Daphnia pulex: one gene and its partners. The protein of the gene in region 1 purifies or fractionates together with the protein of each later gene. This does not show direct contact. Links are inferred from orthologs where the notes say so. Each region holds a gene or a part of one and is shown on either strand. Other genes may lie near its edges.

Region 1 (5,921 bases):
GGAATCTATTCCGTTCCATGCCCAATTCATCCAGCTGGGAGACGAGGTATGTGTTGCATCAACTACAATCAGTCACTAGTGACAATAATCTTGTGATTATGTGTGATGAAATGTTTTTCAATTCAAGGTTATTTAAAATTTCGGTGAGCGACCAAACCGAAGATTGCATATTTTTGAGAAGTATTGCGCTTGAAAGCCAAGGTGAAACAGAGTGCAAGATCGGTTATTTATGTTGCTTTTAAGTTTTTTTTAACACTGATGTAAGAAGTGAAATTCTGCCAGTCAAGCAGAGTAACACGTAGAATAATGTTCAGCACAGCATTTAACACTGATTCTATCACATATATAAATAGTGCTTAAATAAGAAAATTAATCAATTATTTTTAGATTGCGGACCGTTTAATTAATTTAAGGTATGCATTCTAGACAATGTACGGAAAATCTAAACATATTTTTAAACGCCACAACACATCGCCACCGACAACAACAATCCAGCTAAATCAATAACTGCAATAACGACAAAAAATGATAAAATGTATTCGGATATTGGCTCACTCATTTTGGTGATTTCCGACAGACATCCCTAAAAAAAAGAAGTAGTAAGAGAGGAGAAGACAACGATTATTGTTAACAACTAACCTCGGTATAGATTTTCTGACTGATTTCTTCCCATTTCCATAATTGGATTGTTTGTCCTTTTAGCATATCGTGACAAGCTTCTCTGTGTTCAGGTACACAGCATGAAGTTGTCACGGTTTCTTTTTCAGCTTGGAGATAGGTCAAATTGTAAAAGGCGTGAATTCCGCAGCAATTTAGCTTGCTTCGGATTTCATCCACACGAATTTTTGAAGTTTTATTGTGGTGATAATTAGAAATGTTTTCCTTCAGAGAATTTTCGGTTATTTTGGAAAAGCGAAGAACCATTATTCCTCCCACAATTACGAATCCAAGATTTAGTAATACGAAAACCAGGTACTGAAGGCGAGCAGTGCGATGCAATCATTCATCGTAGCGAAATATTCCATTTAGTCAAAGGAGAAAGAAAATTACTCTAAAATCTTTTTTTGTTTTTTTTTTTTTATACAAACACGAGCTTACGCAAGATATCAGGCATTTTTTCTCGCCAAAGGCACCACACATCCCGAATAGGCTAAGAAATATGAGTAGACCGCTGACGGCAATTGCAACCACGATGTTCATAACCATATATTTGTCGTTTACCACCAAAAATTTCTGTTTGTCTGATCCTTTTGCAAATTCTTGACGTTGTACAAGTGACGACGCCGACAAGGAGATTAATACAATGCCGCTCAACTGCATTTCAAAGAATATGTCAGTATCATATTTTATGAAAAGCAATAACAAACCCAGTCTTCCAAACGCAACATTTAATTCGATAATTTCAACCATCTTCAGTTAAATTCTTTAGTAAACTCACGTTGGAATAATATAACTGTTAATATTTTAACAAATCTACAATTACATTGTAATAGAATAATATGTTTACCAGGATTAACAAGTTGAGGCACAAAAAACTCCATCGTAAAATCTTGTGGGAACGGAACGTAACCTCGTCCGTCATTTCCCTTTGACTGTTTTTCCAGTTACTATTTCAAATCGGAATGAAAGCCCGTGTGATAAGGAAACTTACTGTACCACTAACAGGAAACCCAAAATCCGAGTAAAAGAAAATACATTTGCAAACAAGCAATACAGCCGGAACCCAAACGGTATAAAAAAGTGACGTCTATCATTAATATCGTAATCCATAAAACCACGTTGACTCCACCAGTTGGTCTCACGCTTCGAAGTTTTAACTCCTGAGATGGTCACACGATTAAATAAGTAAATAACCAGAATAACCACTGCGGATCGCCTACTGTTCTCTAGGTTAAAGCCCAGCAGTGCGCAGTCAAAATTGTACGCGCGTGTATCCAGGTCGGATGTATATCACTCCAAATAACCTTTTCTTTTGCTTATTTCAATAAATTCTCTGCTTTAACAGCTCTAATTAATTTTCTTATCCTAATTTTCAAATTAGATAGGAATCGTTATGGCGTCTACTGCGCGTATTCATCATAGATTAAAATCTATTTTTATTGGATGGTAGATGGCGGTGAAAAGGTCTTTCCACAATCCGCACTTTACTTTACTTTCATCCGCATTTTATAGTTTATTTATTAAAAGCGTTTTTGTTGTTTTCCGCTTTAGTGTCAGAATATCTGACGTTAATTGGAATTGTGCAATTACGTTTTCGTATCTATTTTATGTGATAGTGTTGCTTTTTTAAATTCTTTCTCGATCCTACAGCACCCAATAGTTTCTTTTTTAGAGAAGAAAATGAGTGACAGAGAACACAAAGATCAGGGGAATAAGTTGTTTTTAGCTCGACGTTTCGATGAAGCAATTTCATGCTATTCCAAAGCCATTGTAAATTTCTTTAATTAAATTAAGCATAAATTATTTTGTTTTGCAACGCGTAAATCAAAGTAATTGTAATTGTTTTCTTTAGCTTAAAAATGGTTCTGTTCCACAATACTACACAAATAGAGCTCTCTGCTCTCTCAAGCTTGGCCGTTGGGATGCAGTAGTGCAAGATTGCAAAAGTGCTTTAGAGTTAGACAACACTTGGGTGAAAGGTTTTTAGTATAAATTCTTCAAAATACTCTGAAAATGCTATATATTGCTATTATGTTTAGGGCATTTCTTTCTGGGCCAAGCTTTAATGGAAAAAGAATGCTATGAGGAAGCAATAAAACATCTTCAAAGGGGTACTCATTTCCCCAACTTAACATAAATTTTGAACACATAAAATCTGATTATTGAAATTTGCTTGTTATTAGCCCGTGATCTTTCGATGGATCAGAAACTTAATTTTGGGGATGATATTACCAGTCAGTTAAGACTGGCAAAGAAGCATCATTTTACAAAGCAGGAGGAGAAAAGAATTTCACAAGAAATCGAACTACAGGTAGTCTGTTAATAACATTCTCTTTGTCCACTCCACTTTGCAAAAAATTATGATTCATTTGAAACTTGGATTTTATTTTGATAGATGTATATAAATAGGCTCATTCGAGAGGATCGAGATCGACAAATCGATTTGGTTAGTCAAGACAAAGAATACAGTTCAGTGGAAAACGAAATTTCGAACATAGAGAACGTCACCGTGAGCATATCTAGAGTATTTTTCTTGTTTCGTTAGTAGACTAATAATACTTGATTAAAATCGGTAGGATCGCTACCTGGCTGAATTGAATGACCTTTTCGCAACCGTCGATGACCGAAGAATGGTACTATAAATTATTCAACTGTGTGTTTCAGTACGTCTTATACCATTAAGAAATTGTCTTTGTAATTGTGTCGGTTAGAAACGTGAAGTTCCAGACTATTTATGTGGCAAAATCTCTTTCGAGATCATGAGAGATCCAGTCATCACTCCTTCAGGAATAACCTACGATAGGAAAGACATCGAAGAACATTTGCAGGTAAGTGAATTCAAAATTGCCTAGTAGATATTAGCCAAAAGATTTGTTTTTACGCAGCGAGTTGGACATTTTGACCCTGTGACGCGAGTTAAATTGACCAAAGACCAATTGATTCCAAATTTCTCCATGAAAGAAGTTGTCGACTCGTACCTGACCGAAAACGAATGGGCTCAGCACTACTAACCACTTTTTTAAGGATCATTCATTGATTTTGATTCTCTTAAAAACTCCGCCGCATTGTATTAAATGAAATCGATATATATTATGATTTGAATCGCCGAGCCCCAGTTGTGATGTTTCCTATCGGGTTGGATGATAATCAGGAAGTAAATGTTGCTATACAGTCTTTCGCTATTGATTGCACATTGCTGTTGTACTTCAATAGACGATGCTGGAAATTTTATATATACCTGATTATGAACCTCCTATTAAATTTGATTTTATTGGGATCAGAGTTCGCCTTGAGCAGATTCTACACCTGTAGGATTGCTCCAATCTTTCAATAGGTTATATTCTTTAGACTAAATTATCGTCTCCTCTGACAATTGTTTGTGGGTGATTGATTTTATTACTTTAGCCAAAGGCAATTGATGATTTGCAGCCGAACTCTATTGGTACGTTTCCTTTCATTAAGCACTTAATTGAGCTTGGCGTGGTTCGTTGTGGATGTGGCCAAGGACAATTGTATCAGAGTTGGTTAAGTTGGTCATTAATCAGGGGGGTCGACTTGAACGGACGGTACTATCGATCCTGGTACAGCACGGGACTGGACCGATATTCACTTAAATTATAATAAACGTCCCATGGGTAAATTGTGTTTGCCACGTCGTCAACTACAGTTATTATCTTATCAGCACTCTAGAGAGAAGTCTGTTGTGTATCTTGCAGTGTGCATACAAGGGCGGAAACGTTACTGTTCCTGTTCCTAGGTCTCAAGTTGAAGTTTTTCAATTTAATGCATAGCCTAGCACTTGTTGTTGCATCGATTTCTTAACTTTTTTTTTCCCCCTCTTCGCGCTTCGACTGTCCTATAAAGGATCGAGCTGACGAATCGAACGGCGTTGGGTGTGCCGTATAGACGACGGAAACGATGGACAAGTCCCGCCCACTCTCATAAAAGTTGGTTGGCAAATAATGCGGGACATTGAAGCCTTTTTAATGTGTCATCTTTTTCATTTTCTCCTTTGATCGCTCGGTTGCTTTTATCGCTCTTGCACGGGGCTTTTATCGCGGTCGACTTGTGCCCCGAATGGCGGCCGGTATCGGACGTTACGTTATATTAGAAGTCAACACAACAACACTTATATGCGGCGTATGTGTCACAACGAGAGTGCCTTTTTGCTACATGGCCCACCGCCAACACGTTTCATTTCCGTTCAGTCTGTCAATAACGATCAGTCAAACAAATAAGACACAACTTTCATTTAGATTGTACCCGGGATCGGCGAGGGTGCCAACGACTTGGCGTTTGTAATTGATTGCCTAGCTCGTATGGAAAATATACGTAGTATAACATTTTATAGGGACTTTTTTAATCCATCGGTGATGGCGGTTGGCCCAAACTTGAAAGCATTTAAAACTGAGTGGAGGTCGAAATTTGATAAACCGTGAAATGGAAACGGGTGCCGTCGACTGGCCATCGTCAAATTGTTTAGTTAATTTAGATTTGTTGGTGTATAGAGACAGTTGCTTCAAAGCCGGTTTCTTGTTATGGCGTAGTCCACGAGTTGCTGCTCCTGCTGCCTCGATAGATAAATGTATACACGTGAAAGAGAGTCTGAGCGTCTAGGTCGTGTATAGACCAACAGTTGGCTTGTCTCACGGACTATTTTCAGATTTAGCAAGGATGCCCGATACACGTGTTTTTCATTCCCGAAAGAAATAAACAAAATGACGAAGAGCAAAGCCGAAATATTTGGAGAACTCTCTCTAGATAGATAGATATACACCGTGACCAACTGCTCATCTATATATTTGTGCCAGAGATTCATTGGCAATCTATCGCGTTTTAGTCTGCGAATAACGCCAATAGGTTTGCCCCTTTTATATTATTATATAATGTAGTGACATTGTGACAAATGAAAACCTCGATCGAATCCGATCGTACTGTACAAGAAACGGCAGTCCATCTGGCCCGCGGAGTTAAACAGCAATCAATACTGTACAGGCGGTTGAGATGGATGGACTAATCATTGGGAGCGTTCGGCCATTTGACTGTCACACCCAATAATCAAATGGCACTGAAGAAATAAAACCGATCGTCGCGCTATGGTGGACATGAGTGTTAAGGTGAGTTGAGAAAACAATAAATATAAGAAAAAAGGGAAACGGTGGAAGTAATGTCCGAGCAAGTAGAAAAAAGGGGACAAGGAGAATGGCAACTGATAATAAAGGGCCGTTGGTCCCTAATGTTTCGTCAGTCGAAAGTCGAAC
Region 2 (6,530 bases), on another chromosome or scaffold:
AGGAATACTAAAAATTGACGTTAAGAACAGACAGACAAACATCCACAAGGTCGTGATATAAAAACTATAAAACACACAATAACCTTGGACTCTTTCAAACACTTGGAATTTATAGATTTCCCAGTAGTATGTACCAGAACTTTTGTTTTTCCCTGGAAACTCTCTCTCTCTCTCTGATATCGAAATTGAATTGCAACCCGAAGAAAGAAAAAACTCTTTGAACACAATACTTTTATATTTTTTTTTGAAAAAAAAGGGCCACCACTTGTGTAATGAGACGATGGGTTTCCAAATGATGGCCTTGTGTCTACTGCTTTCCCTACCCCTCCCAGTCGAGTCCCCCCTTCCTCCACACACACACACATTTCGAAAGGGAGTTTCTCGCGCGCTTGTCAAACAACACCACCTAGCGAGCGGGTTAACAACCACTTGACGCGTCACTAACTGGGAAAAACTGAAAGATGAACATAAAAGAAAAGAGGAAGGGGAGAGACAAAATATTTTCTCTCTCCCCACACACAACCACACACACCCTTCGGAAACAACCCCAGGTTCGAAATATATGCTGGGGCTTGTTCCCCTCACTGTGAAATAAAAAACCCTCAACCATTCAAATTTCTCAGTGTGTGTGTGTATGGGGCTCCTCAATGAACAAAACCTAAAAATGGACGTTGACTGGAAATCAAAACACACAGACGCTGGGAATATATATGACCAACACGTTTTGACCCCCCCTTTCGATGCATCCTCCTATACACACACACACACACAGACATAAGAGAGTGAAATATTGATTGCAATCTCACGCTGGTGTTGTGTGTGTGCGGTTTGATAGTGACGCGGGCGGAAGGTCCCCCCAAAAACCAATTCGGTCAAAAAATACAAAAATCCCCCAAGAAAACAACCGGCATGATGATTATTACATGCAATCAATTGTCTCTATGACCGGATGGTTACTCAACTTATACTCACTCAACAGGTTACAACAATATTTTAAGAAAGCACATGTGTCATTCCACACACGCCATTTTTGTTGGCGAAATTTTCTCTCCCCCCCCCCATCCCACAAGAAATGATGATTGCATACCTGCATGTGCCGAGTTTGAATAGATCCGCAGAGATGAGGTTAGAGGTATGTGGTAGTAGTGAGTAAGTGGTAAGTCTTAAATTGTGCAATAATCCAAGACACGAGACTCGGCTTGCTTTTGGCCAGATTCCAGTCGACACACAGACACTGCAACACACACCACACACACACCACACGTCCAACACGTAACACACTCGTTGGATATATGTCCCCACCAAAGTTTATGCTTGCGCCAAAAAATAAAAAAGAGACTCGGCAGCACAGACACACCGAGAATTCAATTTTCGAAAAAAAGAAAGCCAATCGATTGAGTCATTTGAACGTTTTTTTGTGGTGGGGAGTAATGGCGATTTTTTCCAAGACTAATTATTCGTCGAAATTGAGGGAGAAACACACACGACACCAGTGAGAGAGAGAGATCGATTTCGTCGGGGATTTGGTGTGTTTGTGTGTGTGATTGACGAAGAAGAGGGGGAAAAAAAATGATTTTGTTCGGAGAAGTTTCAGAGATACGTCTCGTTCTCGTTCAGCAGCAACTTCGACTGAACACAATTGCCACATTGGCTTGGAGAGTCCCCCCAGCCCCAGCCGTTCGGAGCTGTTAGCCGTCGGCACCTTGATACTCGTAGTCAAGCACACGTCAAAATGTGTGTCTGCTTTTTCAGTTGGGGTGGGGGGGATATCTATTTTATTTTACGTGGCGCTACACCACGTAATTCAAACGTTGGAAAATATTCGACTGAAATTCGATAGAAACGTCCAAGTTGATGAATATACATTTATTTTTAAGAGAGAAAGCTCAATAATGACGACTTTCCGTATTAACAGGAGAGAGACGGATTTGACCACATTTCACTTGAAAAGCCAACGGAAAAGCCAAGCGAAAAAAGAAAAGAAAGAAAAAAGAGAGAGGGAGAGACTCGGGCTCTTCCCCGACAGACAGCGCCACAGCGGCCACGGCTGCAGACGCCACCCGTTTTCTTTCCTCTCTCTTTCGCCTCTCTCCTTTCATCCTGATTTCCTCCCTTCCCTCCGCTTTCGTTTACAGTTTCGGCCGCGCGTCTTACTTGAAAATAATTTTTTTTTGTCTTCTTCTCTCTTTCTAGATTTTTCGTGTGTTGGATTTTCATTTTATTGGGACACATTTTTTTTTTGTTTTCTATTTTCTTTTGACCTCTCAACTGTCATCTAGCGGCCAATGCGACCAACGATATACTAACGTCACATTTCTATAACTTAAATGCTATTTTCTCAATGCTAAACGCGCATAATAATTAGCTACGAGACAACATCTTGATGCAAACACGTAATAATAATACGTAAGGCAATAGGAGATGAAATTATTATGCCATTAACTGATGAAAATCTGCTCGTAAAAAGCCTATGCTTAATAATAAATCTACCAAGGCCGCACTGCAGGTCACAATGACTAACGGTCGTCGAGACGTCGACACACACAAAAAAGGAGGAAGGGGAAAAAAAAGTTACTTTCTACCAAAAACTGGCAATGCTGTATGTTTACCTCGGCGAAAAGAAAAACAAACCTTCCGTCCCGCTGATTTGTCGATTTGACAGTTGCTCTGGTAACGTTAGTATTGGCAAAGTAATAAAAAACCTGTTGGGTCGATTTCCGCAGCTTGGCAAGAAGGTAAAAAGGAAATAGTATTAAATCAGTCAACGAGGAGAACATGGGGCGCAAAGTTGTAGTCGCCGTTTGCTGCTTGAACCAGTGGGCTTTGGATTTCGACGGAAATCTGTCACGCATCATCGCCAGCATCCAAGAAGCAAAAGTACAAGGTGCTAGTTATCGCACAGGACCCGAATTAGAAGTCACAGGATACAGCTGTGAAGATCATTTTTATGAAGCTGACACTCTTCTACACAGCTGGGAGGTTAGCGTGTCACTTTTCTGATTTATGTTTACTGCGGTTTGTTTCTGGGAAATCTAGAAAATGATCTTTGATCCTCAAATAGGTTTTGGCTGAACTATTAGCCAGTCCAGTATGCAAAAATATTTTAGTTGATGTTGGCATGCCGGTTATGCACAAGAGTGTCACTTACAATTGCAGAGTTGCTTTTTTCAATGGGTAAGCAATTGTTTTATTGTTATTATGCTCTTCTTATAAACAGTACCCCCCTTTTCGCAGAAAAATCTTGCTGATTCGTCCTAAATTGAAACTCTGTGATGATGGCAATTACAGAGAATCAAGATGGTTCACTGCCTGGACAAAAGTATAAAATTTATTTTACACCAGTTTTTGGGATCTGTGGCCTTAATTAAATGTGAATTATTTTGTAAACAGCTTTACCAAACAGAGGATTACATATTGCCAGAGTTTATAAGAGAGCTTACAGGGCAAAAATCTGTAGTTTTTGGAGATGCAGTCCTGGAAACCTTGGATACCACCATAGGTTTTGAAATTTGTGAAGAATTGTGGAATCCCTCCAGGTACAGTTGTACTTGCAAATGAATATTATTATTGTTTGTTGTTTTAATGACCAGTAAAACCCAATATGCACACTATTTGGTAGTACTCACATTTCTCTCGGTTTGGACGGCGTTGAATTCATCGTCAACGGGTCGGGTTCCTACTTTGAGTTGCGCAAGGCCAACGTTGCCGTCGATCTTGTCCTACAAGCAACATTAAAGTCCGGCGGTTGCTACTTATTCTCAAATTTAAGAGGCTGCGATGGACAGCGTATCATGTTTAATGGAGGATCGTGTATCGCACTTAACGGACAAACAATCGCTAGAACGCGTCAATTCTCCTTAGAAGAAGTGGTAATTTTCGTCACAATATGTATCACTTGGATATTTTTAAAATCATTTCTTGCGATGGTTTATTCTTTAGGAAGTTGCTGTAGCCACTGTCGACTTGGATGACATACGAACTTACCGCAATTTAGTCCGTTCTCGAAACATCGCCGCTGCCCAGAGTCCATCGTATCGTCGTATTCCGGTCGATTTCAGTCTGAGCGAGTCTTCCTGCTACGCTATGAGAGCTTCCAGTACCCCATTCAAATGGCAGTACCACAGTCCTGAAGAGGAGATTGCTTATGGTCCTGCCGGCTGGCTCTGGGACTATCTCAGGTTGGTTTAAATTCATTTCAAACAACAGGATGACATTTTTTTTTAAACCGAACATCAAATTACTTGAAGGCGGTCTGGCCAGGGTGGATTTTTCTTACCTCTGAGTGGAGGTGTCGATTCAAGTTCCTCGGCTGTTTTAGTTTACTCCATGTGTCGAATGGTGGTAACTTCTGTACAAAATGGCGATAGTCACGCCATCGACGATGTCCGGCGTATTGTTGGCGATCCCAGTTACATCCCGGACGATCCTCGTGAACTGTGCAACCGGATTTTCATCACCTGTTACATGGGCAGCGCCAATTCATCGGCGGAGACACGACAGCGGGCAAAGGACTTGTCTGACCAGCTGGGAAGGTAAACGACCTTTTTTTAATTGGCCAACTTGACACCACAAACAAAAAAACAGACACTAAATTATTTTTCCTTATCACCCAATAAGCTATCATTTGACCCTGGCTATCGACGCTGTTGTCTCGGCCGCTCTCAACATTTTCACAGTCGTCACGGGGCTCGTACCAAAGTTCAGAGTCGATGGCGGCAGTTTGCGAGAAAACCTTGCCCTGCAAAACGTCCAGGCCCGAATGAGGATGGTGTTGAGCTACTTGCTGGCCCAGTTGATGTTGTGGGCCAGGGGCAGATCGGGTGGTTTGTTGGTTCTTGGTTCTGCCAATGTCGACGAATCTTTGCGTGGCTACCTCACCAAATACGATTGCTCCAGTGCCGATGTTAATCCCATCGGCGGAATCTCCAAAGGGGATTTGAAGCGATTCCTATCATACGCCCGGAATGAATATTGTCTAACTTCCCTGGACACTATTCTGACAGCTCCGCCGACTGCCGAATTGGAGCCCTTGCAAGAAGGTCGTCTAGTTCAGACGGACGAAGAAGACATGGGTTTAACTTACGCCGAGCTGGGTGACTTGGGGCGACTTCGTAAACAGGCAGCCTGTGGGCCTTACACCACTTTCTGTCGACTAATTCAAAGCTGGAGGGGAGCAGGAACACCAGCTGAAATCGCACACAAAGTATACAATGTCTCTTTTATAAAAAGAAAAAAAATGGAAATTTAGTACCAAAAGAGTTTCAATTTCAAGGTCAAACATTTTTATCGCTGCTACGCCATCAACCGACATAAAATGACGGTGATTACGCCTTCCGTCCACGCCGAGACGTACAGCCCCGATGATAACCGCTTCGACCATAGGCCCTTCCTTTACAACGCCAAGTGGGGATGGCAGTTTCGCGCAATTGACGCTCATGTAAGTATATATCGAGCCGTTTCATGCCCGACAGCTATACTACTACTATGTAAGCTTGTGAATTATTCATTTAGGCTTTTAATGGAATTACCATGTAGAATGTAGAAGAATCCCGGTTCGCCTCGAGAATCTTTATCCTTCCTTTTTTTATTTTTTTTTATACTGCTACCAAAGTCAGGGTGAGGAGGGGGGGGGGGAGCTGAAAGGAGGAAGGGGAGGTTTTATATGCTAAGGCTGTTTGATCTGTGAAAACTGGAGAGGTGCCGGCGTATTGATCGGTCGGGAAAGCCATGGCTTACGCATGTCATTTTTAGATATGTTCCACCTCCTTTTTTTTGTTGTCTTTTTTTCTAGTTGGAGCACGTCAACAAGATGGTCGACACTGATGATCGTAAACTAGATAATGCGCACATGCAATCAGGTAATTCTATTGCATTTTAGTTAATGGCGAAGAAGAAAAGGAAATCACCAAAACTCACAATAACTGCTAATTGTGCGGATCAACGGGGAGCTCCTGTGTGACCGTCTAGATTCAAATTAATTAATAAGCCTTTAGATAAAAGGAGATTATCAGCATAATATGGGCTCAACAAAGCCGTCCATGTAATTAATTATTAGACTGTAATAATAATACCGTCAAATAATACACTCCCAGATACATCATTTATTCTCTCCCATTTTCTTGAATGATTTCGTCATTTTCTGTTTTCTCGTCTTCCGCTGCTGCTGCTGCTGTTGATAATGCGACGACTTCTTGGTTCTTGTCCGCTTGATCGATACTTTGAGATACTTCCGCAACGGCGGCATCGCCATTCGTCGGTGTAGGACTAGGTTTTTCAGTAGTCGCAGTGGCAGTCTGCGCAATGTCCGTAGCTTGTTGTAAATAGGCTGCAGCCAATTGATCCAGACCGGCGCTTGTAGCCAGGTCAGCCGACAAAACCAGAGACAACGGATCTGATCGTCGCGCCAACGTGCGAGCCGCTTCAGCTACCTCGCCATTGGCCAGGAAACATTTTACTGCCAATTCGAGATTACCATCTAAAACAGCTTTGCTGGCCCAACGAGAAAGACTCTCTTGAACTTGAGAACTTTC
Region 3 (5,915 bases), on another chromosome or scaffold:
TCTCAAGTTGAAGGAGGTTGTCGGGGAGAAAATGTCTGAACTCGGAGAAAAAGACTCTCAACTGGAGACGAGGATGAATGAACTCGAGCAAAAAGATTCTCAGTTGGAAACCAAGTTGAGTGAACTGCAGTCGAGAGAAGTTTTGAAGAGAATTCTGGAACTGGATCCTGGAACCCAACAGAATGAATCGTCACTTCAATCTCTCCAACAGGAAAATTTTAATTTACCGTACAACATTCCAACCATCACTCGATCATCGGGGAAGAATGGCAACCCAAGAACCTGCAAAGAAATTCACTCGAATGATCCTTCTTCTCCATCCGGAATGTACTGGATCGATCCGGATGGCCAGGGAGTTGGAGATGACTCCATCTACGTCCATTGCGACATGACAACAGGTAACCTGCTAATAATACCAAATTGTACAAGGAAAATATTTTCTCATTAAATTAATTTTTATTTCTGGGTTTAAATAGGAACGACTTCAGTTCCCCACGACAGCGAGTCTCCAACAAACGTGGGTCATTGCGCTGAACCTGGATGTTATTCCAGGGCAATAAGGTACAACGCAACCAGTAAACAATTGGCAGCGTTGGCTGAATTATCAGTCGAATGCCACCAATCGATTGTAGTAAGTCAAATTCTCCTCTACAACAATTAGATACATCGAATAAACGTTAAAATTAATTTCCTGATGTTATCACAGTACGACTGCAACTACGCCCCCTTCGAATTCAACAACGTCCCTTATGCCTGGTGGAACGACAGAAATGGAAACCCGCATTATTATTGGGCCGGAAGTGCGACGGATGTCCATAGCTGTCAGTGTAGTATCGATCAAAATTGCATTGATGGCACCGCCAAATGCAACTGCGACTCGATTTCACCTACGCAACTGACTGACGCAGGTGATAAGTTGGAAACTCATTTGTTAAAAATAGATAGCTTCAATGGACTTTATGTCATTTTACAGGTTTTATCACCGATAAGAAACTCTTGCCCGTCACCGGTTTGAACTTTGGACGAACACATTTTGAAATTTCATCCGGAGTCCACACACTCGGCCGATTCCAATGTTCTGGATAGGTGACCATCTCTGGAATGCCAAAATCCTGCGAGGATCTCTGGCGTATTGGACACTCCCTCAATGGCGTCTACTCCGTCGTGGGATCTGCAATGATGGAAAGTGTTTACTGTGACTTTACAAAACTCCCCGAGGATCCAGGTAATTTACAAACAATACTCTGCTAAGTGCATAGTGATCCAGTTAATTGTTGAAATTATTAACCGCAGGATTCCAGAAGTGGATCGGGTACGCCGACGTCAAATCAGTGCCCACCTACTTTTACGTGCAGAGAAGTCAACGTTTCTCCAAAGTCAACGTTTCCATCCCCTTTAATACGGCACTTGTCAACATCGGGAACGCTATTAATTTGACGACTGGGGTTTTCACCGCTCCTAGAGCTGGAACTTATTACTTTTCGTTCACAGGATTGGCCGAATTCCCAACATTTTCCTCTCTGCTCTATTTAGGCGTGGATTTGTATTTGAATGGAAATCTTATTGGAAGAGGTTTCGTTGAAGACCAAAACACCGTTGCAGGGCAATTCACTCCCGTGACGTTGCATTCGACGCTCAATCTATTACCTGGTGATCAAATCTGGTTGCAAATAGATTCCTTGTTGCCTCCGTTGATTGGCGACGGTACTGCAGCCCGTCGTAAAAGGCGAATGCTTCCGACAAAGGGAGTGATTTTATTCGACGATTATCGCCACTTTACTCATTTTACTGGATTGATGTTGGAGGAGGACATTTCACAATCGCTTTAATTTCTTTTCTTATTTTTAACTGATGCATTTAAAACAATTAAATTTTGCCTGTTACCTACAAACTTTTTCAGCAGAGACCTTCTTGTTAATACATATGTATTCTTTAGGATTGTAATGACCACAACAATCTTGAGGATCAATAGGATTGGTAGATTACGATAACAAAATTAGAGAACACCGTTCACGCTTCGATGGTTCACGAGAGAGTAAACAAACAAAAACGTAAAGATTATCAAAAGGACGTCGGTGTGTGTATTGCGCCTCCATATCATGAGCCTCTTTGTTTGCTTTTTAAATTCTCTTTCTATTGCCAGCAATCGAATGCCAATAACTTCACCTGTCTTCGACAATGTCTTCCTTGAAAATCACCGACAACAAAGTACGGCAATACTCGGCTTCCTCCTATCAAATGAAAATTCAAAGTTTAAAATTCGATTTCATTTTCAAGTATTGACTAATAATTATTACCAGACATTCGTCGCGATCTCCGATTAATTCGATGCGGTTGTCGAGAAATTCACGAAAGAGAAACTCTGATCTACGGCACTCCTCGATCGATGGGGGGTGGCTCTGGGTAAGTGCCAGCAAGGCGGCCAGTAGATGTTCGTGAGTCGAGTCGTGATCTCGTTGAAGCAGAGCCACAAACTGCTCCACAAATCCCATATTACATAAAGTATCTAGTAAACAGGGTATTGGTTAGAGTACAAATGGAGAAACTTATGAATGTGAATAAAACCTTTGAAGGATGGATTCTCATTGCATAAACAAGTCAACAAGAATGAAGCCTTGATTTTCAGTTTCCCGAGTGATGATTGCAGTGCTCTCAGTAAAGACGAGAAACCATCACAATGCACAAATGCATCCTGGGCTTCTGCACATTCTCTTGTCAAACCTATAATCAATCAATTGTTAACTGAATTCCCTTAGTGTGAGTTGTAAATCTGCTCATTACATGAAATGGCGTACAGGGCTTTGATTCTCGCCTCTTCACAGTCATCGTTTTCCAGCATTTTAAGCAAAATTGGCAATAGGTCTTCGTTGAGCACATGCTGTTGGCAGTATGGGTTGTTCTGGGTGAGGGTGCCAATCAACTGACAGCACCTCCAACGAACTCCATCGTGGGGAGAATTCAAACAGGGGATGAGGATGAAAAATCCTCCTATCTTGTGAAAGTCTGGAGAAACAAGCGAAACAAGTGTCAATGTTTTATTCAATCAATAAAAAAAGATATCTCATACCATTAGCCGTGTCCATGGAATCGGCAAAGTCAGTAATCATTTCCAATGCTTCCTCCATCTCCTGGGGATCTTCTTCAGGACTTTCGACTCGATCTGGATTGAGGATATTTAACGATTTTGATATTTCGGCTACAACGTCGACTGACAATCCTCTTAGAGCTTCTTCTAACCAGCGTCTCCTTTCTTCACTCATCGATGTGGTTGTGGTACGATCTTCAGCTGCGGTGCCTTCGATGGCAAATCTTAAAAGTCCTTGCATATCTCTTGGTTGTCGTGGGGGTTCCATTGTTTTGCTAAGGATCTCAACAACAACTTGTTATATATTTATGAAGAATAAGACGCAGTACGCAAGTTAAACCGTGAACGCATGGGGCAAGCAGACGTCAATGAAACTGTTTACTAGCAAAATCAAGAAGAGTCTGGAATAAAAAGAGCCATCTAGGCATGACTCGCATAACTTAAAAAATTTTGACATTTACAAAACAAACCTGTTAAGTTAATTAAGATTTGGATAAAATTCATTGAGATTTTAAAAAATTATTGAAAAAATCTGCGAAAGTGTGTCATATTTTTATTTGGTTTTTAATTGTAGTTTAACGCCGGAATGGGTTTCTAGCAAGTGACGTAACCTAGCGGCCGCCATAAGCATCTTTTCGAAAGTCACTCGCGTCAGGTTTGTTGTGTCAACGCACACTTTTTTTTAGAAAAAAACCACACCAATTTTAGTAATTTAAAACGCATAAAGTTTAGCCGGTTGATTGGCTGAATACAAGGACACTTAATTCGGAAGACACTGGGGTGAACGGTGTGATTGGTTCTCCCGAAATAATTCGTAGAAATGGCGGTTCCAAGCACATACCGAGACCAACATTTCAAAGTAAGCCTCATGAGTTGATAGCAGAATTGAAAATGTAACTTAATATACAGTTTTGAGGCAATTAATGTTTAAATGGAAATGCATACCTTAATAATTAAAAATATTTTGATATTTCAAGCCAAAATAACTGATTTCCATCTTTCAGGGTTCCCGGGTAGAGCAGGAGCGTCTGTTGAGTCAATCTTGCACCCTGTATGTTGGAAACTTGTCCTTTTACACAACTGAAGAACAGGTTAAATACTTCCAAGTCAACAATTGGTTCCATTTGATTTCATCTTTTCAAATATTTTAGATCCATGAATTGTTTGGGAAATGTGGCGATGTCAAGAGAATCATCATGGGATTGGACAAGTTTACTAGGACCCCTTGTGGATTTTGTTTTGTAGAGTAAGTCATTGCAACCAAATCCAATAACAAAATTGTGTTTAATTATTTCTAATTATCTTTCAAGGTTTTACCTGAGGAATGATTCAGAAAATGCCATCAGGTTTGTGAATGGGACAAGACTGGATGACAGAATTGTGAGAACTGACTGGGATGCTGGCTTCATTGAAGGAAGGCAATATGGCAGAGGCAAAACTGGAGGACAGGTCAGCATTTCGTCAGCTCAAACTTATTGTTCTCAACTAATGGATTTCTGTTTTGCAGGTGAGAGATGAATACCGAACTGACTTTGATGGTGGCAGAGGAGGATGGGGCAAAATGATTCAGCAGAAGGTGGCCACATCTGCTGCTGCTAACAATTGATAACATTTCTAAATACTGTATTCATTCATCTCTGTGTGTTTTTTTTTTTAACAAATGTCAACAAGTGTTATCCTCAATTAAAACAGACCATGCTGAATTGATTTCCTAAACAAAATCTTTTTTACCTGTGAAAGAAGACGTTTCTCGTCATGTTTCCATCTGCCAGTCCGGTTGGCCTGGATTTTATCGATCGAAAAGTGGGGACACTAGAATCTCTTGCCATGTGATCTGTCACTCCCAAAGCTTTTTCCTTTTCAAAGCGAAGCGGGTAGTTTCCCAGAAGAGCTTTTGCGGCCGCGTGATGCACGCCATCATCTACATGCAAAGAAATATTTGAATATTCAATTCCCAGTGGTCGTCTGCAACTTATAACGAATGTCACAATTGAATTTGTGTCAAATGTGAAGCTAATTCAATGATCATTGATCAATTAGATGATTTCCAAAATGGAAATGGTATCGATTTCTGATTGCTCGGTAGTTGTTTAGTTATTCCAAATTAAAACTAACTTATTTATCGTTCGAAGAAAGAATGTGCTTGACGTGACATTCAACGTGCATCTGAACTACCAGGAAAATTGTACTGAGTGAGTGTGTGTGTATCTGGTGTTGGCTGTTTGAATATTTCTGGGCGACGGCAATCGAGTTCTCTCCCACTGCTGCAGCCGCTGGAAGCATTCATGTCCGCGTGCCGATCCGCGTGCTCCGCCGTGAGGCTATAGCGGGACTGGTGCATGTTGGCTGGCTGCTGTACCCACCGCCCAGCACTACAGATGTTGCTTATTCAAATATTGACGTAAAACTCACGTGGAGCGACATGAACATTGCCCAGCACCTGTTGTATAATCTTCATCTTCCTCCTGGTGGCCATGCCAACAAAACGGGGCTGTTTCCCCCCCTGCGAATATCCGTTTATACATCATTTAATTCCCTCTGTTTGAAACTAGTGTAGGAGCAGGTATTGTGTCTGGCCGTTAAGTTATCGATTGGTTGGTATATTAGGTGTCGTTGACGGCCAACTGCGCATTTGGCGAAAACGATATCAAACGATACGAGTATTATAACGTCGTCTATTTATTTTTCAATTACACTTTGACAATGGCGTGAACGCCTTCAATGCCCGGCAACTTGTAGAAGGACAAAAGCAATTGGCTTTTCTTGATTTAGGACGGGCGTACGTAGTACAACTATAATATAATACGAAGCGGATGAAGCCAAATAATTG
Region 4 (6,663 bases), on another chromosome or scaffold:
AACCTTTCAAATTCGTTGTAGCTATCAAATGTGTGTGCACAACAACCTACCCAAACACGAATGGGGAATGGCATTTTTCATATTGAATTTCTCGTCTCTCTGAATTGTATAACGGAATGATTTCTTCTTCTTCTTGTGCACGTTTCTATTCGCTTTGATGACCTTTTTATTTCTTAAATTTTATTTTGGCTTTTTGTTTGTTTTTTTATATCGATTTGTTTGTGCCGGAACACACACAGACACGAAACACACAAGACACACACAACAAAAACACTTGAGAGAAATGATCAACTCAAATTGCCCCCCTCAATTATTTTTTAAATTTTTTGTCATCATTTTTTCGGCTATTTCTTTTTGGTTTTCTTTTTCTTTTTAATGGAATGCCTTTTCTTAATATATGCCCGTCTTAATGACAAGTGACGGAAACAACACGGTGATCCATTCATAGATCAAATGGGGGACAGAAAGGGGTTGATGCTTTTGTTGTTTAATGTCGCATGTTTTGATGGTTTGATTGGACTTTGAATGGGATTTAAACTGGGACATTTAAAACAAAATAAAAGAACAAAACTCCTAAATTCCCTCCCCAAAAACCGCCCGGCTTGCAAAAACAACCGACTCATCTGACACCCAAATTGATAGGAGGATCGGCCAGCAATTCGCTGGGCCATCAACTGGTGGCCGCTGGCCCCACTGCCACAGCTGCCGCCACACAACCGTCCCATTCCAACAGCCAACAACAACAGCAGCAGCACCAACACCACCACCAGAGTTTAGTCAACAATCGCGGGACAGCTGGAACAGCAGCAGCCACGGCGACGTCGGCCGGAATCAACGGATTGGGGACGTCGGCAGCCGCTGCGGCAGCCGCCGCCGCCGCCAATCTCGAAGCCCTGGCCAACGCCTACACGGCCGGCATCCAGCAGTTCACTACAGGTGCCGCCCAGCCCCTTCTCCAAACAAAAACCCCCAATTCCGCAATTCCGCAATTCCGCAAAATGAGATGATCATTTCTCCAATGTGGAAAAAAAGCGCCAAAATTTAAAAAATTGAAATAATTTCATAAGGAAAAGTTACACACGAAACAACAACATAAAAATCATCCGGCACTCTTCGTCACTTTGCTTCTTTTTCACCTGTTTTTCTTCCACTTCCGGCATTCCGGCATTCCTTTTTCGTTTCAAAAATTGATTTATTTGTTGGTTTGTTTTTTTAGCTTTCCCCAATTTCACTAGCGGCCAGGTGGGGATGAATGGCGCCAACGGCGGGAGTGTCAGTCCCCTGGGTGGCAGCGGCAGCGTGACGGGTAGCGGATTGCGCCAGCAGGAAGGGCCGGAAGGATCCAACCTGTTCATCTACCACCTGCCGCAAGAGTTTGGCGACACGGACCTCTGTCAAGCCTTTTCGCCCTTTGGCAACATCCTATCAGCCAAAGTCTTTATCGACAAGCAGACCAATTTGTCAAAGTGTTTCGGTATTTCCATTTAATTTGACATGACATTATATTTTAATCGGAAAATTTTGATGAATTCTATTTCTCTTATTTTAGGTTTCGTGTCGTACGACAACCCGATGAGCTCCCAGGCGGCCATCCAAGCCATGAACGGCTTTCAAATCGGCACCAAACGGCTCAAAGTCCAGCTGAAACGTTCCAAAGACGCCTCGAAACCTTATTAAAAAAAAAGAAACAGAAAAACTCTCGGGGGGAGAGAAATAAATATTTTGAAATTCGAAAAAAAAATTAAAAAAAGAAAAAAATATTTTTTTGTTGATGTCACTGAACGCAACAAGCCACCGCCCCATTACAAAAAAAAAGAAACGTACAATTTTCAAATGACTGGACAAACACGCCTTGCCCCTTCCCCCTTTCTTGGTAGTAAGTTGGGAATTTTAAATTTTTTTTGTTTTCATTTTATTTTTTAAAAATAATTATTATTATTCAATTTGAAATGCGACCAAATAACCTAGTCACATTTATGGAAAAAAGTGCAAAGCCTATAAACATATCATGTGATTGGTTCTTCTTAAATTTCTTTATTTCACAAATATTTCACAAATAGAGAAAACAAATTGATTTAAACCTTTTTTTTTGAATTCTTCTCGATTCATTTTTCCCGCTCAAATTCAAATGATTGAAATTTTCTAGTCTATCTCAGGGTTTTGTCGTTGACTACATGTTTTAGCTGTAACGTTTTTGTCTCTCGTCTCTCGTATCGAATGTTGTTTTTGATTTGATTTTCTCTTCTTCTTCTAGGTTTCCTTGTGTCCGTGTGTCCGTGTGTGCACCACAACCAACCAACCAACCAACCACAAATTTAAAAAAAAACAATTTCAAACCTCCTCTCGTTTTCACGTTGTTTGTCAAACCTTTTTTTCTTTTTTTCATCGTGTATCTTACTCCCTGCGTGTCTCGTACGTGTGTTTTTGTCGTCCCCCATATAGACACAACAATTGTTTGGCGTCTCTGTCGTCGGAGAAGCGGACGAATATTTCATCCGCTTCTTTTCTTTTATTTGTTTTTCATTTACACGTGTCTTGTTCTTCTTTAATTGTTATGTTGAATCATAGTATATTACCAAATTATTGTAGAGAGATTACAAAAAGAAAGCTATTTCATGTTTGCCTCCCTTTTAAAAAAGAAAAGAAGAATTCAGCTAGGCCAGATGCCAAAATGTCGTTTGTTTGTTTCTTCAATTTTTATTTTTAGTTTTTCCATTTTTTGGATTATGTTTGATTATGTTCCGTGTCCCATTTGTTTGTGTGTCTTTTGATTGTTTTAGTTTTTTTCGATGTTGATTCGACATGGATGTAGTGATCAGCTAGTCTCACCCACACACACACGTATAGGTTATATATAATTATATTAATTTCTAATTTTTAAAAGTGACATTAATTCAATTCGAAAATACGAACGTGTATACCTCCCCCACCACCACCCACCATCGACTCTTCATTTCTGTTCGAACCGTTTGACAACAACAACAACAACACGCAAGATGTTGGAAACAAGGTGTGGCGCCGTGACACCTACATGTGCCTTTTTGTTTTGTTTTTTGTTCTTTTTGATCGAAATTTCCTCGGCAGTGACACGTACAGACGCACGCCCTAGTCATGCAACAAGAACACACACACACACGTCCGACGGCCAATTTACCACAAGTATCAAATGATCCCAAATGTCAGTGTGACGTGCAGATTTTTCGCAAGGACCGGCAAACATTTTTTGGCAACCAGGTGGACGTTATCCCCCAAAAAAGGACTTGACAAGCACCTAAACAAAAACTTGTATATCTCTAATTGTGTTTTTCTTCTTTCTTTTAATTCGATTGTCTTTTGTTCAAGTTCCAAGTGAAAATTTTTTGTTGTGTTGCAAAAAGTGATGTGACGGAGTTGTTTGCTGTTGTTGTTGTTGTTGTTGTCTGGTGGGCACGTGAGATCTCGTCGTTTCATATTTTTCTTCACACCCCATTTCCCACGTTTACCTTCGTTTGAGAAAAAACAACTACGGTTGGCGATTTTTGAAGCGTCAGACATTTTTCGATACTTAAAGAAAAACTAAAACAATTATGTTGCAAGACGCCAGCAAGAGAAATTCGCCCGTGTCTATTTTTTGAAAGAAACACACACAAACTCGTGACCTAATGAGCACTTGTTGATGGTAGTCATGTTTGTAGTATTCATTTTTCAGTTCTAATTAGACAAGTTCCTGCGAGAGAGAAGAAGAAGAAGAGAAATTTGAATTTCGGGTGGGATCGACGATGCCAAATTTTATTTTTGTTTTATTTGTACGACTTTTTTTTTTGTTTCATTTTTTTCACGTTTGCACCGCAAATTTAGACAAAAATTTGATGTTACAAATTGCGATTTTTTTTTGGAAATATTTGGTGTGGAATACTTTAAACGTGTTTCAGCATGTCGCAGAGCGATTTCATTTGCCCGTTTTTTATGATGATTTCCCCCCTCCCGAATGATGGCAGCCAAGTGAAACAGTTAATACAATATTTTAAATTAGCGTCTTTAAAATAAATGTCGATTTCAATTAAATTAAAAAACAAAAGTAGGTGTGCGAAAATCGTTTTTAAGAAAAGAAATCTGGCAACGCAGCCACTCAGAAGACCGACTACAAAAATGGCAAAACGTGTTTCGTGCGGTCTCGATTTCGTTTCCCCTGCCGATATTACAAATGCTCTACAAATCGCCACAGAATCCAAGTATTAATTTGATTCCCGAAATTAATTTCACAAGAAATTGCCCCAGTCACTTGTTGCTAACAGCGTAATACTTTTGATTTCGTCAGGTATGATTTCGCTGCACTGCCAATCGCCCATCCGAGACACAAAAGAGATTTCTCCGGAAATTCTCAAGCTCGACGTCTCTCAGCTTTCACTCGAGCTGATCTCATTCTGAACAGCTCAGGTATAAAAGATAAAAAAAGTATAAATGTGTGCCGAGTGATCCCCTAATTGAAAGTTGAATGATCTCATTTCAAGACTGGAGCACGCTCATTGTTGGAAAGATTTCTCCACACATTGATTTGGATCATGAAGACAAGTTGCTGCGGCAAGAATCTGAGAAAATGCTGGAGCAAGAGTTGTCCTTTGCTGGACATCTGGGTCTCCCCGCTGTCCTTGTCCCCTTGAGAAAGAACAACACAAATTTTGCCAGATTTATGCACAACAAAGTGTTGTCTTCACCGATGAATCAGGTATTTCATTACCAATATTTTCTTTTTGCAGACGATTCAATTATCACTTTGTGCCTAGGCCAGGTACCATGTTTGGCTCCACCTCCCCATGATTTCCCCGAAAATTGAGGCTAGTCTGTTTGAAAGGGATGTGGATGAAGAAGAAGTTGATGATACTTGGCATTGGTGGAATAACTTTCGCATTACTGCAAACTTTGAGAAGAAACTCTCACTGGCCCTGGAACTCACAGCTGATTTGCCTGATGCTGAAGACATTGATCGTTGGCTGGGAGAGCCAATCAAGTGTCTTGTGGTTCCTACCCATTTATTCATGACCAACAAGAAAGGGTTTCCAGTTCTTCCCAAATCCCACCAAGTGGCCATACGTCAGTTTTTACGCCAGAAGACGCAAATTCTGATCACTGGAGCTCAGCGCCACCAACATTACAAGCATTATCAACAATATATTGAGCATTTGTGGCAAGTAAGGGGAAACAACAATCGCTTACTTTCCTTTTCAATCATCATATTGTGTTTTCTTGTAGGTTGGGTATGAATCAGATCCAGTTATGCGATTTGCACAAGGTTACGAAGACTTTCTCCAATTTCCTCTCCAACCTTTGATGGATAATCTCGAGTCTCAGACCTACGAAGTATTTGAAAAGGATCCCGTGAAATACACCGAATACCAGCGGGCGATGTATCTGGCCATCCTGGATAAAGTCCCGTTGGAAGAAAAGGACACGAAAGTCATGTAAGTTTTGTTTTTTGTTTCTTTTCTACCGAGATCTCCGTCGTAATTGAATTATTTTTGAATAACAGAACATTGATGGTTGTCGGTGCCGGTCGAGGTCCTTTAGTTCGTGCTGCCTTAACTGCCGCAGAGAAAGCTGATCGTCGCATTCGTTTGTACGCAGTGGAGAAGAATCCCAACGCCATAGTCACGTAATGTTTTGCCGCAGAAATGTTATCACTCGACTCGTATTAATCAAGTCATTTTCATTCAATAGTTTGCAGTGTCTAGCCGACGAAGAGTGGGGGGATCGAGTGACTATCGTTTCTTGTGATATGCGCGACTGGGATGCACCTGAAAAGGCAGACATCCTCGTCTCGGAATTGCTCGGATCGTTTGGAGATAACGAGCTATCGCCAGAGTGTCTGGACGGCGCCCAAAAATTCTTGAAAGGTGCCCGTGACATTGTCGTTATTTGGTGGAATACTTTGTTGCTCATTTTTATTTCATTCTTAGATGACGGGATCAGCATTCCTTCGAGCTACACTTCATTTCTGGGACCAATCCAGTCTTCCAAATTGTTCAATGAAGTGCGATCCTGTCGGGAGCGTGACAAGCCTTACTTCACTTCTTTCGAGATGTCGTACGTCGTTCACTTTCGCAACAGGACAGAACTGGCTGATCCGCAGGCCTTGTTTACATTTACTCATCCGAATAGAGGTCAGGAAAAAATTGTTTTAAAAAGCTCTGAATTTCTGCTTTAATCCTTGACTTGACTTTGACAGAAATGCCAATTGACAACAGCCGTTATGAAGTGCGGAAGTTTCCTATTAAATGCGATGCTATGCTCCACGGGTTTGCCGGCTATTTTGAAACGGTTCTCTACAAAGATGTGATGCTCTCCATCAACCCTGCAACACACTCGCCTGGAATGTTCAGTTGGTTTCCAGTTCTTTTCCCCATCCAGAATCCCATCAGTCTGAAGAAGGTAAATTCAACTGTCTCTCCCGATATCTAGACAACATTTTAAATTTTTCTTAATTTTACAGGGAGACGTTCTCGAGATTCATTTTTGGCGTTGCGTCAACCGCACCCACGTCTGGTACGAATGGTGCGTGACGAAACCTCATGGCAGTGCCATTCACAATCCGTTGGGTCGCTCGCACAATATTGGCCTCTAAATGTAACTTAATAACTAAGCATTGTTATAATCATGATTCCACTCGTGTCTAGTTCTTCCCTTGTT
Region 5 (6,424 bases), about 990 kb from region 1:
TTTTGAGTTCAGAATTATGTACTTGGAAATAATGTTAGCAGGATGAATCGATATGAGATTTCCAATGTGTGTTATACGAAGCAGTTGATTTTTATTTGGAATTGCACTTAAATTATCACATTCGACTAAAGCTCCAAACATTCTAGGAACATTACGTTGTTTTTCATTACAACTTTGATGGATGCCAAATGACATTATTTTAATAAGTCTACCTTCCGAGTCCATCACGAAACAATTCCTTCGTTTTGCATTCTTTTTATAAGTGCTAGCAGTGTAAACACAGTTGCGTACCAACATTATGTTAAAGCTAATATATTGATTTCCATAGTTGTCTCATGCAAATTTTTGTTGGGGTGATAATATCTGTCGTTTTCCATTCCCTATGAACATACGATGTTGTTGCCCTGTTTCACTATTTTTTTGGTTATCACAGATGTTCCTGGAACAATGAAAATCATAACTAGTCTTACCTGTCCGTCAGATGTCCAGATAGATGGAATAGTCGTCAAACGACATGCAGTACTCTACAGCCAACGCCAACTGCTCATTTCTGAGATAGTACTTGCCCAGCACGGACGGAATTGAACACGGCGCACACACCCACTCCATGTGGCACAAGTAAACGCAGTCCGCGGTTTTTGCCGTCAACTTCCGCAGCTACTGTGAAACCAGCGATCGCAGGGCCCGCAATGCACAGCAATACCTGAGCCAAGTACTCACCGGTGGTCTAACGCCGTAGCGAGGCATGTTGTCAAGTATCGCGTTCCGCAAGTCGGCAGCCAAATGGGTCGTTTCGTTGCTGACCGTTTTGCCATGCAAAGAGTGTATTTCCTTTTAAAAGTACGAAAATAGAGTAAGGAGATACACAGACTTTTCTGTGAAAAATTTCCCCGTCGTTCGTTACCTTTTTCGCGCTTGTTATATTGCATTTCCCTCAAAAACAATTTAATTGATGCGTGCAAAAGAAAAAAGCCAGTTAAAAATCTTTCTGCTGCAGCGATTGACGTGATGCGCGCCCAGTGCGTTGATATAATCCCGCGTGACTGCCATATGCACTGATCCGCTCATTACGCACGCCTTATCATGGAAAGAGATATAAAGGGGAGGAGGGGGGATTTATTAACTAACATTGGTTCGATGACGCAACCCACTTCATCCGGCCACTGTTTAAAATAACGTAAGATGAGCGAGAGCCAATGGTTATATGGACAAGGCAACATCGGACGTCCTAAGAAAAAAACAAAAATACAGTCCCCTCCATAAGTATGGGATCACCCCGCGCCGTTCCATAAGGCGGCGTGTATTTTTCATATGGGTTTTTCGGTTGGCAAAAATCGAAAAAATGACATAAATTCACCAAACTTGGGATTTATGTCATATTACGTCTTTTCTATTGTCTGAATTTTTTTCAGATTTTTTCCCCTATTTTTTATGCCTAGAAAAGTGGCGCACAAAGTATCAGATCACTCCGACGCCGCCCGTGTTGTCTTATGGCGCAAATGGGCTTTTCATATTGCTTTTTATATATTTAATTTTCTAGAAGGAATTTTTATTTTCAAACCGTGTATACAATACCCTTTCGTCAATTAACTGTCAGTTTTTCATGATGATCTGAATTATTTTCGAATTTTCCCAGATTTATTCGTTTCCCGAGTTTCTGAAATAAGAGACTGCAGAAGACTTCATTTGCGGTTTACAACCTCTATCAGCTGGCGTAGGCCGGAAAATTAGTTTCGTTTCTATACACCACTGGCGCTCTTCTTCCTTTTTTACTTAAGGGGCGTATATAAACGACACTAATTTTCCGGCCTACGCCAGCTGATAGAGGTTGTAAACCATAAATGAAGTCTTCTGCAGTCTCTTATTTCAGAAACTCGGGAAACGAATAAATCTGGGAAAATTCGAAAATAATTCAGATCATCATGAAAAACTGACAGTTAATTGACGAAAGGGTATTGTATACACGGTTTGAAAATAAAAATTCCTTCTAGAAAATTAAATATATAAAAAGCAATATGAAAAGCCCATTTGCGCCATAAGACAACACGGGCGGCGTCGGAGTGATCCGATACTTTGTGTGCCAATTTTCTAGGCATAAAAAATAGGGGAAAAAATCTGAAAAAAATTCAGACCATAGAAAAGACGTAATATGACATAAATCTTAAGTTTAGTGAATTTATGTTATTTTTTCGATTTTTGCCAACCGAAAAACCCATATGAAAAATACACGCCGCCTTATGGAACGGCGTGGGGTGATCCCATACTTATGGAGGGGACTGTATGTGCTGTCATAATGGCTTTTTTGCAGGATCAACGTTTTAAGAAAAACTGCACGGAAGCATTTCCCAGTAGTTCTCCTCCTTCAGGACCGCCCCTACCGCCAAGTAAGGCAAAGCTTCCGGAGCTCGCCGAAAGGAGCAGCGCAGTCGAATTCGCCGTCTGAGGAGGGGGAGGGGGCAAAATGTCGACTGCTGGACTTTACACAGAGTGGCCCATCTCCTTATCTCTGCGTAGTCCTGCCAATCCCAGATTATTTCAGTGGTTTAAAACCTTGCCCACGCTAAACTTTTAAAATTTTAGATTCAATTTGAAATGCTTATGTAGCTGGGGCTTTTCTTTAGTCTGAAAATTTGTTTTTAATCTTTTCGTATCTTTATAATTTGGAGCGTCCGCCGTCCGGAAGCGAATAAAATTGTGTTATAACCTATTTAAGTTATTACTGTTAAATCTAAAGCTGAAATATTAATATTAAAAAATCAGTAACATTATTTAAAGCATACTGATATCGTTAGTTCGTTACTCTTTGAAAAGGATATTTGAAAAATTCCTAACTCGCAAAGAAACGGCTTCGCTCTGTCATGTTATTATGGGCGTTAAGGGGCGGGGCCTATTCTAGAGTGTCAGATGTCTTTCTGAATTTCAGCAGAAGAAAAATAATAACTGTGAGCAGTCATACCGAAAAAAGTAACCCAAATTTTTCATTAAATTGCCCCGTTGGCTTGTATATTTTGTCAGCCCAACGGGTTGCGAAGGAAATCTCCCCTATAACTTGAAAAATGGGAACAGTCATTCCAGAAAATCAAGAGATATCTAGTTTTTTAGTGACAAAGCTTTCAAACTGGCGAGGAAAGTATAAACGAATCTTTACGATCGGCACTCACGCTATTACTACTTACAATCCGAATAATTTAGAAGTGACCAATCAATGGCCATACGCTGAAGTCATTGGAATTAAAGCCGTCGAAAAATCAGAGTTCATTCTCAACATTATTAGAAAGAAGAAACGAGATTCTATGAGATTCACTTGTGATCATCGTTCAGAATTTTTATTTGAATTTCTACGTGTCAAGTTGAATTGTGATCAGCAGCGTAAAGAGTGCTGTAAGTATGATGCTTACAAGCATCATTGGTCAGGTATTAAACTTCCAGTGATTTTGGAAGTCAATCCGTATGGAGTTCTTCAGCTTGAACCAACCACAAAACAACAACTTGCAGTCTATCCCTTTTATGAAATTGAAGGCATTGCACTAATAGAAGATAGTCCACAAGCAATTGTTTTTAGAAGAGTAGGTTTTAGTAGGCTTCATATTTTTGAAATTCCTGGACGCAGTGATATCCTCTCAAAAATCCAAGAAACCGCACTTGCCAATGTTGTCATTCCAATTAAGCAACTGAAATCATTCAATACTTTAAATCAAGCAGTTTTGGAGAGGCTTGGTAACTATAGCTCAGATGAGCATTTAACTTCTCTTATTGAATTTCCCGTCCACAAAATCACTCCTCGCCATCCTGATGCTGTCCGGAGACTACTGTGTTTATCAGAAACTTGCCTTCTCGAACGAGATCCCGATACCTACAGGTAATAAGGAATAAAACGAGTTAAATGCTCAAACAACTTGACAATTAATTTAAATTTTGTTTTTAGCGTTTGCACTCTCAAGCCGTTGGAAGATGTTTTTGCCATGGTCCGTAATCCGGATGATCAACAAAGCTTCTCTGTTGAATTTCTTCGTGGAGGAACACGTAGCTACCGCGCCACGGAGCGGGATGCTCTCTTGGCCACTTTATTAGATGGTGTAAGGTCATCAGGCAATCGAGATATTCACGTTCGATCAACGTTAACGAATAGAGCTCTGAGGCTTACTCCTTTACGTCAACCACCAGATGAAGAGGCAAGTAAAATATCTAAACGAAAGTTTATTCAGTTTTTTATTCTCTTAATTTTTGTTTTTAGATTGAGTCGATGCATTTGCGTTGGCTGGTCCAACCTCCACCTTCCGTTCCTCTTTCATTGGCTACGCTCCGCTTTAATTGTAGTGTAAACTATGGTGGACTTCAATTTGCTAATACCCAAGAAGGTATTTTCTTTACGGAAAACAAAGAAAAATCCATTCATGCTGCCCTTTCAGCTTTGGTGGAAGAGGATTCACCAGGAAATCAGGTTTGTTAACTAAATTAATTTCTCGTCGATGTCTACTGTTGTTCATGTATTTTTATTGTTTTTCTAGGATAAAGCTGATACTGAACAAGAATTTTTGGCGTTACGTCGCTTAGTGGCGTCCAGAGCAGGCTTCGCCGCATTCACTCATTTGGTTGGGTTTCGAGAAAAACTTGGGCTTAAAGTAGTGAGAGCTTTGCAGCGGGACCGTGACCATGTTACCCAAGCGGCTATCGACGTCCTTTGTGCGCTAATGGAGCCCATGTATGATGAGAGCGATTTACGTCAAGAACAACTCAATAAAAGCTCCCTGCTTTCTTCACCTAAATTTCTTGAAGGTACTTGTATAGCTCAGTTGAACAATTTAAAAAATCTTATTTCACGCTGTTGTATGAATAGGTATTTTGGAGCGGTGGACGCAGCATGTGCTTCGTGGAACTGGGGCATTAGTGGTGATATCTGTTCTAGATTTTCTCACGTTTGCTCTTTGTGCACCGTATAGCGAAACAACTGATGGAGCTCATTTTGACGCTCTGTTGGCTATTATCGCAAAACGGGGCAAGGAACTCTTCCGTCTTTTACAACACCCATCTCTTTCAGTCGTTAAAGGTTTGAATCTACTTTACCTCGTACATGATAGCTGCAATTTAAATAACTCGTCATTTTTATTTTCACGCTTCCAGGAGCAGGATTGCTTATGAAAGCTGTAGTTGAAGAGGGGGACGAAACCTTGGCTGCTCGAATGCAACATTTGGCCCTCTCCGAAGCTGCCTTGCCACGCCACTTACTAACAGCATTTTACACAAAGAAACCAGCGGGTCTGAAATTAATATATGTTTCTCCTTATTTGAACACTTTCGAAATATTTATAATTATTATACAGGATCTGTTGGAGATGGCCGTCTTTTACTTAACCGCCAACTGTCACGGAAGTTGGTTGCATTATGGACATCCAACAACCCAGAAGCGTTGAAACTTTTCCAAAGAATCCTTCCGGCAGGACTTTTAAGTTTTTTAGAATCCACTGAAAGTGTCCCCGAAACAGCCGATGAAGAATTAGGCGAGGGCGTTCCAAACCGTGATAATCTAAAAGTAACACCATTACATTTAAGAACTATATTAGAATCAATTTCCTAACTTGGTATATAATAAACTTTCACACAGATTGCTAGCGATGAGTACGGCCGCAAGCAGAATCCTCAATGGCAGAAGTCAGTAGAGCGCCATGTTAAGACAGCACACAAGATGTTGGCCAAACATGTGGAAGGAGCTTTACAGCACTGGAGATCTAGAGATCATGCAACCAGACGTCAAGAAAAACCAAAAGAACGCCCTGTTGTCCTTAGAAGAAGAAGGCAACGAGTAAAAGCAGAGGGAAATTGGGAACTATTGTGTTACCAGTTCTGGAAAGAACACGCCCTTCCCAACTTGATATGGAACGCTAAAACGAGAGAAGAACTTAGAGAAGCATTGGAAAATCAGCTTCGAACATGCATTCAAGATCGAGAACTATCTGGTAATTTCATACAAAATATTTTACTCTTATTGTCTTTATTTTTATTGCCGATTTTTATGATTCGATAGGAATGGAATCCATCGCTTGGAACCATTCGGAATTTGAAGTAAGCTATCCGTCCCTAGTGGATGAGGTCCGAGTTGGTGACTACTATTTAAGAGTCTTACTGCAACATAACCAACCTACGGGATGCCTAGCAATTGACATTAAAGATCCTGTTGCTTTTTTTGATGAGCTCTATCGCCGTTTCTTAACTGCTCCCAAACCAGCATTACGGTTAGAACATTTTATCATTTATTCGTAACTCGATATACAAATGATTTTTCTTTTATCAGCTTACCCTGCTTACAAGCTATGGCACTGGTTTACGGCCGTCATCGGGACGTCATCGGGTCTTTTCCAGATACGGGTTACCTAGTAACACTGTTGGAGCGTTGTATCGACTACGAAGAACGTGACCGGTTGGTCTG

The links.
Region 2: the proteins of E3 ubiquitin-protein ligase CHIP-like (region 1) and glutamine-dependent NAD(+) synthetase-like purify together in Homo sapiens (co-immunoprecipitation; 3 studies listed by BioGRID and IntAct, with this or other methods). This does not show direct contact. The link is inferred for Daphnia pulex from reciprocal best matches to the Homo sapiens genes STUB1 and NADSYN1.
Region 3: the proteins of E3 ubiquitin-protein ligase CHIP-like (region 1) and hsp70-binding protein 1-like purify together in Homo sapiens (affinity purification with western blotting; 4 studies listed by BioGRID and IntAct, with this or other methods). This does not show direct contact. The link is inferred for Daphnia pulex from reciprocal best matches to the Homo sapiens genes STUB1 and HSPBP1.
Region 4: the proteins of E3 ubiquitin-protein ligase CHIP-like (region 1) and protein arginine N-methyltransferase 5-like purify together in Homo sapiens (affinity purification with western blotting; 3 studies listed by BioGRID and IntAct, with this or other methods). This does not show direct contact. The link is inferred for Daphnia pulex from reciprocal best matches to the Homo sapiens genes STUB1 and PRMT5.
Region 5: the proteins of E3 ubiquitin-protein ligase CHIP-like (region 1) and dnaJ homolog subfamily C member 13-like purify together in Homo sapiens (affinity purification with mass spectrometry; 3 studies listed by BioGRID and IntAct, with this or other methods). This does not show direct contact. The link is inferred for Daphnia pulex from reciprocal best matches to the Homo sapiens genes STUB1 and DNAJC13.

What each region holds. Positions count from the first base shown.
Region 1 is NC_060019.1:9,013,380-9,019,300, reverse strand, and holds E3 ubiquitin-protein ligase CHIP-like, read left to right. Parts: upstream 1-2,144; 5' UTR 2,145-2,340; coding exon 2,341-2,430; intron 2,431-2,512; coding exon 2,513-2,639; intron 2,640-2,699; coding exon 2,700-2,771; intron 2,772-2,843; coding exon 2,844-2,971; intron 2,972-3,055; coding exon 3,056-3,169; intron 3,170-3,236; coding exon 3,237-3,293; intron 3,294-3,371; coding exon 3,372-3,488; intron 3,489-3,545; coding exon 3,546-3,671; 3' UTR 3,672-3,891; downstream 3,892-5,921. Other genes in the region: cytosolic endo-beta-N-acetylglucosaminidase 1-like, read left to right, coding at 1-46, 128-242; CD82 antigen-like, read right to left, coding at 455-583, 640-975, 1,099-1,314, 1,508-1,582. UniProt on the Homo sapiens protein: E3 ubiquitin-protein ligase which targets misfolded chaperone substrates towards proteasomal degradation.
Region 2 is NC_060024.1:12,902,070-12,908,599, reverse strand, and holds glutamine-dependent NAD(+) synthetase-like, read left to right. Parts: upstream 1-2,602; 5' UTR 2,603-2,775; coding exon 2,776-2,979; intron 2,980-3,061; coding exon 3,062-3,174; intron 3,175-3,234; coding exon 3,235-3,319; intron 3,320-3,390; coding exon 3,391-3,536; intron 3,537-3,619; coding exon 3,620-3,869; intron 3,870-3,939; coding exon 3,940-4,178; intron 4,179-4,247; coding exon 4,248-4,532; intron 4,533-4,617; coding exon 4,618-5,203; intron 5,204-5,272; coding exon 5,273-5,437; intron 5,438-5,791; coding exon 5,792-5,878; 3' UTR 5,879-6,100; downstream 6,101-6,530. Other genes in the region: gem-associated protein 5-like, read right to left, coding at 6,102-6,530. UniProt on the Homo sapiens protein: Catalyzes the final step of the nicotinamide adenine dinucleotide (NAD) de novo synthesis pathway, the ATP-dependent amidation of deamido-NAD using L-glutamine as a nitrogen source.
Region 3 is NC_060026.1:16,274,197-16,280,111, forward strand, and holds hsp70-binding protein 1-like, read right to left. Parts: upstream 3,489-5,915; 5' UTR 3,354-3,488; coding exon 3,068-3,353; intron 3,004-3,067; coding exon 2,782-3,003; intron 2,722-2,781; coding exon 2,566-2,721; intron 2,507-2,565; coding exon 2,298-2,506; intron 2,232-2,297; coding exon 2,163-2,231; 3' UTR 2,059-2,162; downstream 1-2,058. Other genes in the region: uncharacterized protein LOC124205359, read left to right, coding at 1-398, 477-631, 707-908, 974-1,086; nuclear cap-binding protein subunit 2-like, read left to right, coding at 3,906-3,944, 4,090-4,176, 4,237-4,331, 4,396-4,534, 4,593-4,691. UniProt on the Homo sapiens protein: Inhibits HSPA1A chaperone activity by changing the conformation of the ATP-binding domain of HSPA1A and interfering with ATP binding. Interferes with ubiquitination mediated by STUB1 and inhibits chaperone-assisted degradation of immature CFTR.
Region 4 is NC_060023.1:12,077,201-12,083,863, reverse strand, and holds the start of protein arginine N-methyltransferase 5-like, read left to right. Parts: upstream 1-2,440; 5' UTR 2,441-4,026; coding exon 4,027-4,211; intron 4,212-4,297; coding exon 4,298-4,416; intron 4,417-4,490; coding exon 4,491-4,705; intron 4,706-4,763; coding exon 4,764-5,168; intron 5,169-5,229; coding exon 5,230-5,438; intron 5,439-5,506; coding exon 5,507-5,629; intron 5,630-5,694; coding exon 5,695-5,870; coding exon of another isoform or gene 5,871-5,933; coding exon 5,934-6,137; intron 6,138-6,202; coding exon 6,203-6,405; intron 6,406-6,466; coding exon 6,467-6,598; 3' UTR 6,599-6,663. Other genes in the region: CUGBP Elav-like family member 1, read left to right, coding at 643-936, 1,217-1,474, 1,550-1,677. UniProt on the Homo sapiens protein: Arginine methyltransferase that can both catalyze the formation of omega-N monomethylarginine (MMA) and symmetrical dimethylarginine (sDMA), with a preference for the formation of MMA.
Region 5 is NC_060019.1:8,023,379-8,029,802, forward strand, and holds the start of dnaJ homolog subfamily C member 13-like, read left to right. Parts: upstream 1-2,893; 5' UTR 2,894-3,056; coding exon 3,057-3,859; intron 3,860-3,925; coding exon 3,926-4,172; intron 4,173-4,234; coding exon 4,235-4,441; intron 4,442-4,508; coding exon 4,509-4,776; intron 4,777-4,837; coding exon 4,838-5,047; intron 5,048-5,121; coding exon 5,122-5,256; intron 5,257-5,321; coding exon 5,322-5,530; intron 5,531-5,602; coding exon 5,603-5,954; intron 5,955-6,022; coding exon 6,023-6,230; intron 6,231-6,289; coding exon 6,290-6,424.